2 linked regions of the Xenopus tropicalis genome follow. The main gene of each other region encodes a partner of the protein of the gene in region 2 in a complex. Links are inferred from orthologs where the notes say so. Each region holds a gene or a part of one and is shown on either strand. Other genes may lie near its edges.

Region 1 (3,828 bases), on a different chromosome or scaffold from region 2:
TAAGCACAAAAATATTTTATCTTTTGTTTTGATTATTGAATGTGGGTGGTAGACACCTTGTGCTTTCTTTCTTAGAAGATACTTTATACTTTTCTCTCTGATATAAATACGGTAACTGGCCAGTATCATTAGGGTCTGGTGCCACTGTGGCACTCTGAAGCTTTGCACCCTTCACCTTATTTTTTATGATTAACAATGACAAAAAAAAGTCCTTACTTAATACCCTTCTATGCACGTACCAGAGCAACCAATGTAGCCCAGGTTTTTCAATAAACAGAAGCATTTCAAAGTACTAATGTTTTTCTCAGTCCTGTACAACAGAAGTGTTCATATATAAACATACAGATTACATTAAAATGCTGTCATACAGGAGGCAGAGAAGGCAGTGGTTTATAATCAAAAAGAAAAAGGGTATAACATATTCTGTACAAGTTTAGTTGTCTACAAAATTACCTAGACTTTTTGTCTCCCTATTATCAGTAAGTTGGCTTGTTTCTGTGCTACTGGTCAACATGTTTTATTTTTGTTCTTACTTGGCCTTGACATGACAACAACATGAATAAAAAAAAAAGTAATGAAGACCAATTGCAAAGTTGAATAGGACATTCCATAACATATTAAAAATTAAAGGGGTGGGGGGGAACAACATGGGTTTATAAGCTTTGAATATGCTGTGTGCCATGCATATAGCATATTTATAGTATAGCAGTCTACAACATGATCTATAGGTCATAAAATAATATTGTTCTTTTATAGTCTGGAAAGAATAACAAGACCAAGACAAGCAATATGACATCATACAAAAACATTGTGTTTTTTAAATATACAGTGAGGAACATAAGTATTTGAACACCCTGCAATTTTGCAAGTTCTCCCACTTAGAAATCATGGCGGGGTCTGAAATTCACATTGTAGGTGCATTCCCACTGTGAGAGACAGCATTTAAACAAAAAATTCAGGAAATCACATTGTATGATTTTTAAATAATGTATTTGTGTTGCACTGCTGCACATAAGTATTTGAACACCTGGCAATCAGCAAGAATTCTGGTTCTCAAATACCTGTTATTCTGCCTGGAGTAGAGTGCACCTCTACTCCACTCATTAATCTAAATTAATAGCACCTGTCTGAGCTCTTTAAAGACACCTGTCCACCCCACAGTCAGTCAGACTCCAACTACTACCATGGGCAAAACCAAAGAGCTGCCAAAAGACACCAGAGACACAATTGTGGACCTCCACAAGGCTGGAAAGGGCACAGGGCAATTGCCAAGCAGCTTGGTGAAAACTGTTGGAGCAATTGTTAGAAAATGGAAGAGGCTAAAGACGACTGTCAGTCTCCCTAGGACTGGGGCTCCATGCAAGATCTCACCTCGTGGGGTATCACTGATGATAAGAAAGGTGAGGAATCAGCCCAGAACTACAAGGGAGATGCTGGTCAATGACATGAAGAGAGCTGGGACCACAGTTTTAAAGGTCACTGTCAGTAGAACACTAAGCTGCCATGGTTTCAAATCATGCATTGCACGGAAAGGTTCCCCTGCTCAAGTCATCACATGTCCAGGTCTGTCTGAATTTTGCCAATGACCATCTAGATGATCCAGAGGAGGCATGGGAGAAAGTCATGTAGTCAGATGAGACCAAAGTAGAACTTTTTGGTCTAAACTTCACTCACCGTGTTTGGAGGAAAAATAAGGATGAGTTGCATCCCAAAAACACCATCCCTACTGTGAAGCATGGGGGTGGTAACATCATGCTTTGGGGGTGCCTTTCTGTGAAGGAGACAGGACTACTGCACTGTATTAAGGAGAGGGTGAATGGGGCCATGTATTGTGAGATTTTGAGCAACAACCTCCTTCCCTCAGTCAGAGCATTGAAGATGGGTCGTGGCTGGGTCTTCCAACATGACAATGACCCGAAGCACACAGCCAGGATAACCAAGGAGTGGCTCCGTAAGAGGCATATCAAGGTTCTGGAGTGGCCTAGCCACAGTCTCCAGACCTAAATCCAATAGAAAATCTTTGGAGGGAGCTGAAACTCTGTGTTGCTCAGCGACAGCCACGAAACCTGACAGATTTAGAGGAGATCTGTGTGGAGGAGTGGGCCAAAATCCCTGTTGCAGTGTGTGCAAACCTGGTCAAGAACTACAGGAAACATTTAACCTCTGCAATTGCAAACAAAGGCTTCTGTACCAAATATTAACACTGATTTTCTCAGGTGTTCAAATACTTATGTGCAGCAGTGGAATACAAATACATTCTTTAAAAATCATACAATGTGATTTCCTGAATTTTTTTTTTAAATGCTGTCTCTCACAGTGGGAATGCACCTACAATGTGAATTTCAGACCCCGCCATGATTTCTAAGTGGGAGAACTTGCAAAATTGCAGGGTGTTCAAATATTTATGTTCCTCGCTGTATCTACCATCATTCAATGTTAGTGTTCAGAACACAGCCATCACAACACTAAGGTAGAATTTGTTTTTTGAGATATCTTAAGATTCTTACAGTTTAAACATCAAAAAGGCACATGTATGTATATCTATTTATATGCATACATTAAAATAAATTGAGTGATTAAGTGATCATAAGTTGGGTGTCATGTTTTAGTCTAAAACAGATCAGCAAGTGGGATGGTGTACTTTTATATTGTCTGAGACAAGGCAAATGTATTAATTAAACAAAGTTTTAAATTAACAAGTTTGCTCTGAAACAGCATCTGAGCATTGTCAGTAATCTATCAGACAAGTTGGTTAAAGGGGACCTATCTACCACACATAAAAAGCTGTATAATTAAAGTCATTTTTAAAATAAATATGAAACCCAAATTCTATTTTTTTTTTAAAAAAAACATCCATACCTGTTATAAACTTTATTTTATTTAGAAATCTCAGCTGTCAATCATATTTTGCCTTCCCTGCCTCAGGCATAGAAGCGGGGCAGGCAATTACTTTCACTTTCAACTCTGCACTTCCTAGATGTCCCTGCTTTCCTCTTATTCCCCCTCTCTACTAATGGCCTATAATTGTGTAGCAAGATTTTAGGATGATGCAAAGCTCTCTTAGTACCAGTGATCACTAAATGGAACATGCCTGCTTGATGTGATTGTGACTTCCAAGACTGAGGGAAACACAATTTATATAATTTATATTAGGGGTGCACTGAATTGAGGATTCGGCCAAGATTCAGTCTTTTTCGGCAGGATTCGAATTCAGCCAAGTCCACGGGTCCTGGTTGAACTGAAAAATCACATGGACTTTTTTCACGTAAACAAGGAAATTTAATTTTTTCCCCCAAACCTAATTACCATATGCTAATTAGGATCTGGTTTGGTATTCGGCCGAATCCAAAAAAGTGGATTCGATGCACCAAATCCACTTTTTTGGAGTAGAGAGTCCCCTTTAAGCCTGAGGGAGAAGGTAGAAGGCCAATACTGCCTACAGCTGTAGTTCTGAAACATCCAAAAAAACAAAGTTTAGCATGTACGTTTTAGAAAGTAATAAAAGAATGAAGTTACATTTCTTGCATCAACACATATACTAAACAAATGGAATAAAATGTAAATATACAGTTTAAATTCTCACCTGTGCTACAATTAGTTTGTTAGTAAGAGACTCATGCTCTGAGATTTCCTCCCCAAAGCATAAGGTAACTTCATAACTGGGGGGCATTCCACCTTCTGTTTTGTATTGCTCCAGATCTAAAAGGGACATTGGAAAAAAAGAAATGCAGCAAATATGCTTTACAATAATTCCATATATCTATTTAAATCATAATGGAAACTCCTGCTGTGTAGCACTAATTTTGCTTGTATATTCCTCATGGTGCA
Region 2 (3,828 bases):
GTTTAGAAAAGCCGCAGCTTCTCTCCCCTTCCTGCTGTCCTGATGTTTGTACTGTTTGCTGTGGACTGACTGGTAGTAGAAATGTGCAAGTCTTACTTTACTTTATTTAAAGCAAACTGTACAGTCTATTTGAAGATTTGTCCAAATTTGACCTTAAGGGCTCTGGCACACGGGGAGATCAGTCATCCGCGACAAATCTCCTGTGTCTCGGGCGACTAATCTCCCCGGATTGCCATCCCACTGGCGAAAATGTAAATCACCGGTGGGATGGCATACGCGGCGGCGCAATTTCCGCCGTGTATGCCATCCCACCGGCGATTTACATTTTCGCCGGTGGGATGGCAATCCGGGGAGATTAGTCGCCCGCGAACAGGGAGTTTTGTTGCGGGCGACTAATCTCCCCGTGTGCCAGAGCCTTAAAGATTGGCCCAGATATTCCTGGATAAGACAGTACATTCCTAGATTGCTTCCATAAATCCAATTAACTCCCTAGAATAATAATGAGTCCAGAACAGAATTTTCAATTCTGTTGTTAATAAATAGAGAAATAATAAAACACTTCTGTTAAGGTTCCAATCTCATATAATGTCCTACTCTAAATAAATTATTAAAGAGTTTGACCTTCTCCTCAGCTGGATCAGGTGGATTTTGCTCCTGGCACTCTTCTAGGTGTATTCAAACGTAGGTCTTCCCTCTGAGAGTCTCCTCCCTTTCACCATCTCCTTCTCAGCATCTGTCTGTCTCTTCATATTCTCTTCTGGCAGGAGTCAGAAGTCTGATTTTGATTGACAGATCTAATATATCTTTTAGGGGGCTTCCTGATTTATTGTCTTGTATTACAGCTCACTCAAATAACTGATTCAAGCAAATAGAAAATCTTACCCTGTTGGGAACAAATCACTTACATGAACATGATATATGTATTTATTTGAACATAATAGCAAAACATACGACATGTCTGCTAAGACTGTAGTGGAAAGACACATGACCATTTGAAATACTCAACAACTTTTCACAGTCTACAGTGAGCTCTAATTCATCTTCTAGGCTAAAGGAACACCCCTCAAAGGCTAGATTACACCCAACTGTCAATCAAAATCTCACTCCATCTCCTGCATGAAGAGAAAATGAAGACAGATGCTGAGAGGAGGGTAGTGAAAAGTAACAGTACAGACTTTTTAATTAGATTATTCTTATTTCAGTATGCTGAAGCTTATATTAAATTTTCATTTTTGCGGTAGTTCCCCTTTAGGAAAGAAGTCGGTGCAGAAGAACAGTTCCTTCTCCTGTCCTTTAACCCTTTCTCTAGTAGGGCATGATTCCCATTCATTTGACTGGGAACCAGAAACACTGTTACTGTGCCATTGAAATAGAAAGGTTTAAATGTATGTTATTAGCAGACTTCACTGTATCTTATCACGAGTATTAGGAAACCTAGAAAAGCAAATAAAAATGTAATGTTATTCTGAAATAAGGTCAATAAACAGACTTGCTGCGATTAACTGTTTTCTGTAACTTTATTACATATTTATGCCCAGGAGCAGTAACCCATAAGCAAGTAGAAGTTATTGGTTACCTGTTTGAAAGCAAACATCTTAGTGGTTGCTATGGGTTTCTGCTCCTGGGTAACTATAATGTGCACACTGTATTTGCAGGCACGTGATGGGATTTGTAAGTCGCAAGAAAGAAGAGATTCTGCTAAAGGCCGAGATATCAGGCACTTTTCTCCTTCGCTTTAGTGAGAGCATTTGTGGTGGGATCACGTGCACCTGGGTGGAACAGCATGAAGATGGTAGGTTAAATAATGGCATGCAGAAAGGATAGTATAGTCACTCTGGCTTAGCAGCACATAATTGGCACCTGGGAGCATCCATATATGTTTCAGATATCATGCACCATGTGATAACAACATTGATCTTAGCTTGATTGGCATGCATGTAACGCTTTCTTTCCATATTTGCATGAAAAGTGTCATAGACTTACACAATATTGCACAATATTCATCAGAGTATGCTAAACTGACCTATTGGTAACAACAGCAGGATGCTAAGGGGATTGTATTGGCACAAGTTGCTTTTTAATAGCTTTTAAAGGTGCAAATTTTAGTGTTCTCAATGGCCATTTTCTGTAGCATATATTTACTGGATTTCAGCCAAATGATTTACATTTAATGCTATACACAACAAAGCTCTTTCTACAAATACCCGTTTTATTGTGTGTTCTGCCCATAGGAACCTACACTATCCGTTCTGTCCAACCATACACCAAGAAGGAACTCTCTTCCATCCCACTCACTGAGATCATCCGGAACTATCAGCTTTTGGCTGAGGAAAACATTCCTGAGAATCCTCTGAAGTATCGGTACCCTAACATACCCAAGGATGAGGCTTTTGGTCCATATTACGAGAAAAGGCCTGAACGTGAGTATATTGAGAGGAAATCTATACTCGTTTAGCACTCAGTACCTTTAACAATTAGGGCTCTGGCACACAGGGAGATTAGTCGCCCGTGACAAATCTCCCTGTTAGCGGGCGACTAATCTCCCCAAAATGCCATCCTACCGGCGAAAATGTAAATCGCCAGTGGGATGGCATATGCGGCGGCGTATGTTTCCTCTCAAGGCAAGCCCCTTGAGTCGCCCGCGAACAGGGAGATTTGTCGCGGGCGACTAATCTCCCCGTGTGCCAGAGCCCTTAGACTCAATTAGACTTTTCCACACACCAGATTGCTCTCTTGATTATGTTAAGTGATGCAGTCTCTGTCCATTGCATAGGCACAAGGCACAGTGCACTGTCGCAGTGTCTTTTAAAACATGTAAATGGTATTAGTGCTATGGCAACATGAGCAGAACAAATATCAACATTTTAAAAGAATAAGCAGCATTCATTAAGTGGGTACAAACAACTCCTCCCCAAACACTTTTATACTTTTTTTTACAGGGCAGTTTACAGTTCTTCAGAGAGCTAAAAAGTGCATCCCTGTAACTGCTTTGCTAGTCCACATTGACCCTTTGGTACATCCCTAATAATACAAATTAGACATGAACAAAAACATAAAGTGATGTCATGCAATCCAGTGACATCATATTAGACTTAAATCAGAGGTAAAATGCAAAACTTGCAAGTGTACTGGCCCGTATCTTCTATTTGGCAGTATAAAGAAACACAGTAGTTACAAGATCCAGGTGCTACAGACATAGAGTAATTATTGTGCTAAGTGATGACTCCCCTTTCACTTTAGTGACAGGTTAAGCCTTTTGTTAATTTCTGTGGACTTTTAATACTTATCAGTTTGCACCAGATTTACTCGAACTGCTATTAAACATTTTTCCCATTGCCACTGCGAGGTGTCATGTGGCATGTTGCTGGTTTTCTGCATGCAGCATTAGAATGCAGATATGTGGTGTATAATGTAATATTACTAGTTTCTCTGTATATGCAGTAGTAGGATGTGAGTATTATTATTGTAGCTCTGTATGTGCAGGTGTATGCTCTGTATATATGTCCAGATGTATTGGTGAGCAAAAATAAGCACCCGGCAGGAAATATTCATGTTTTTCCTCTTTCTTTTAAAGTAACCCTGCAATATGAGCAGTACCTCCAGCGCAAACTGATTATTGTCTCTACAAGGTAAGGCAACCACAATGGCTAAGGCTCTTTTCAATAACTGCCTGTTTTCAAATCTTATTTCTCTTTGTTAAATATGTACTCTAAATAGTCTTTATAACAGTGTTTGTGTATCTGCTATTTGCACTATTTGTTAACTGGTTATGCTATAGGCAGGTCTGTAATAGGAGTCAAAATATTCCTGAATTTGCACTTCTTTTCT

Evidence for each region.
Region 1: the proteins of stat2 (region 2) and irf9 are in contact, whole or in part, in a crystal structure (PDB 5OEN), measured with the Mus musculus proteins. The link is inferred for Xenopus tropicalis from reciprocal best matches to the Homo sapiens genes STAT2 and IRF9. Residues at the interface, in NP_064347.1 of Mus musculus: Arg163, Gln164, Lys166, Asp167, Glu168, Asp170, Val171, Phe174, Arg175, Thr177, Val178, Phe179, Leu181, Lys182, Asp188, His190, Gln191, Gln193, Gln194, Leu197, Thr201, Lys204, Met208; in NP_032420.1 of Mus musculus: Leu206, Leu208, Tyr212, Leu233, Asp234, Arg236, Ser244, Glu245, Ser246, Ser247, Met248, Asp270, Arg271, Leu274, Val275, Ala276, Asn278, Ser279, Arg280, Phe283, Val284, Gln285, Leu287, Cys313, Glu315.

Annotation. Positions count from the first base shown.
Region 1 is NC_030677.2:139,348,085-139,351,912, forward strand, and holds part of irf9 (interferon regulatory factor 9), read right to left. Parts: intron 3,700-3,828; coding exon 3,584-3,699; intron 1-3,583.
Region 2 is NC_030678.2:138,423,837-138,427,664, reverse strand, and holds part of stat2 (signal transducer and activator of transcription 2), read left to right. Parts: intron 1-1,655; coding exon 1,656-1,792; intron 1,793-2,231; coding exon 2,232-2,420; intron 2,421-3,574; coding exon 3,575-3,629; intron 3,630-3,828. UniProt on the Homo sapiens protein: Signal transducer and activator of transcription that mediates signaling by type I interferons (IFN-alpha and IFN-beta).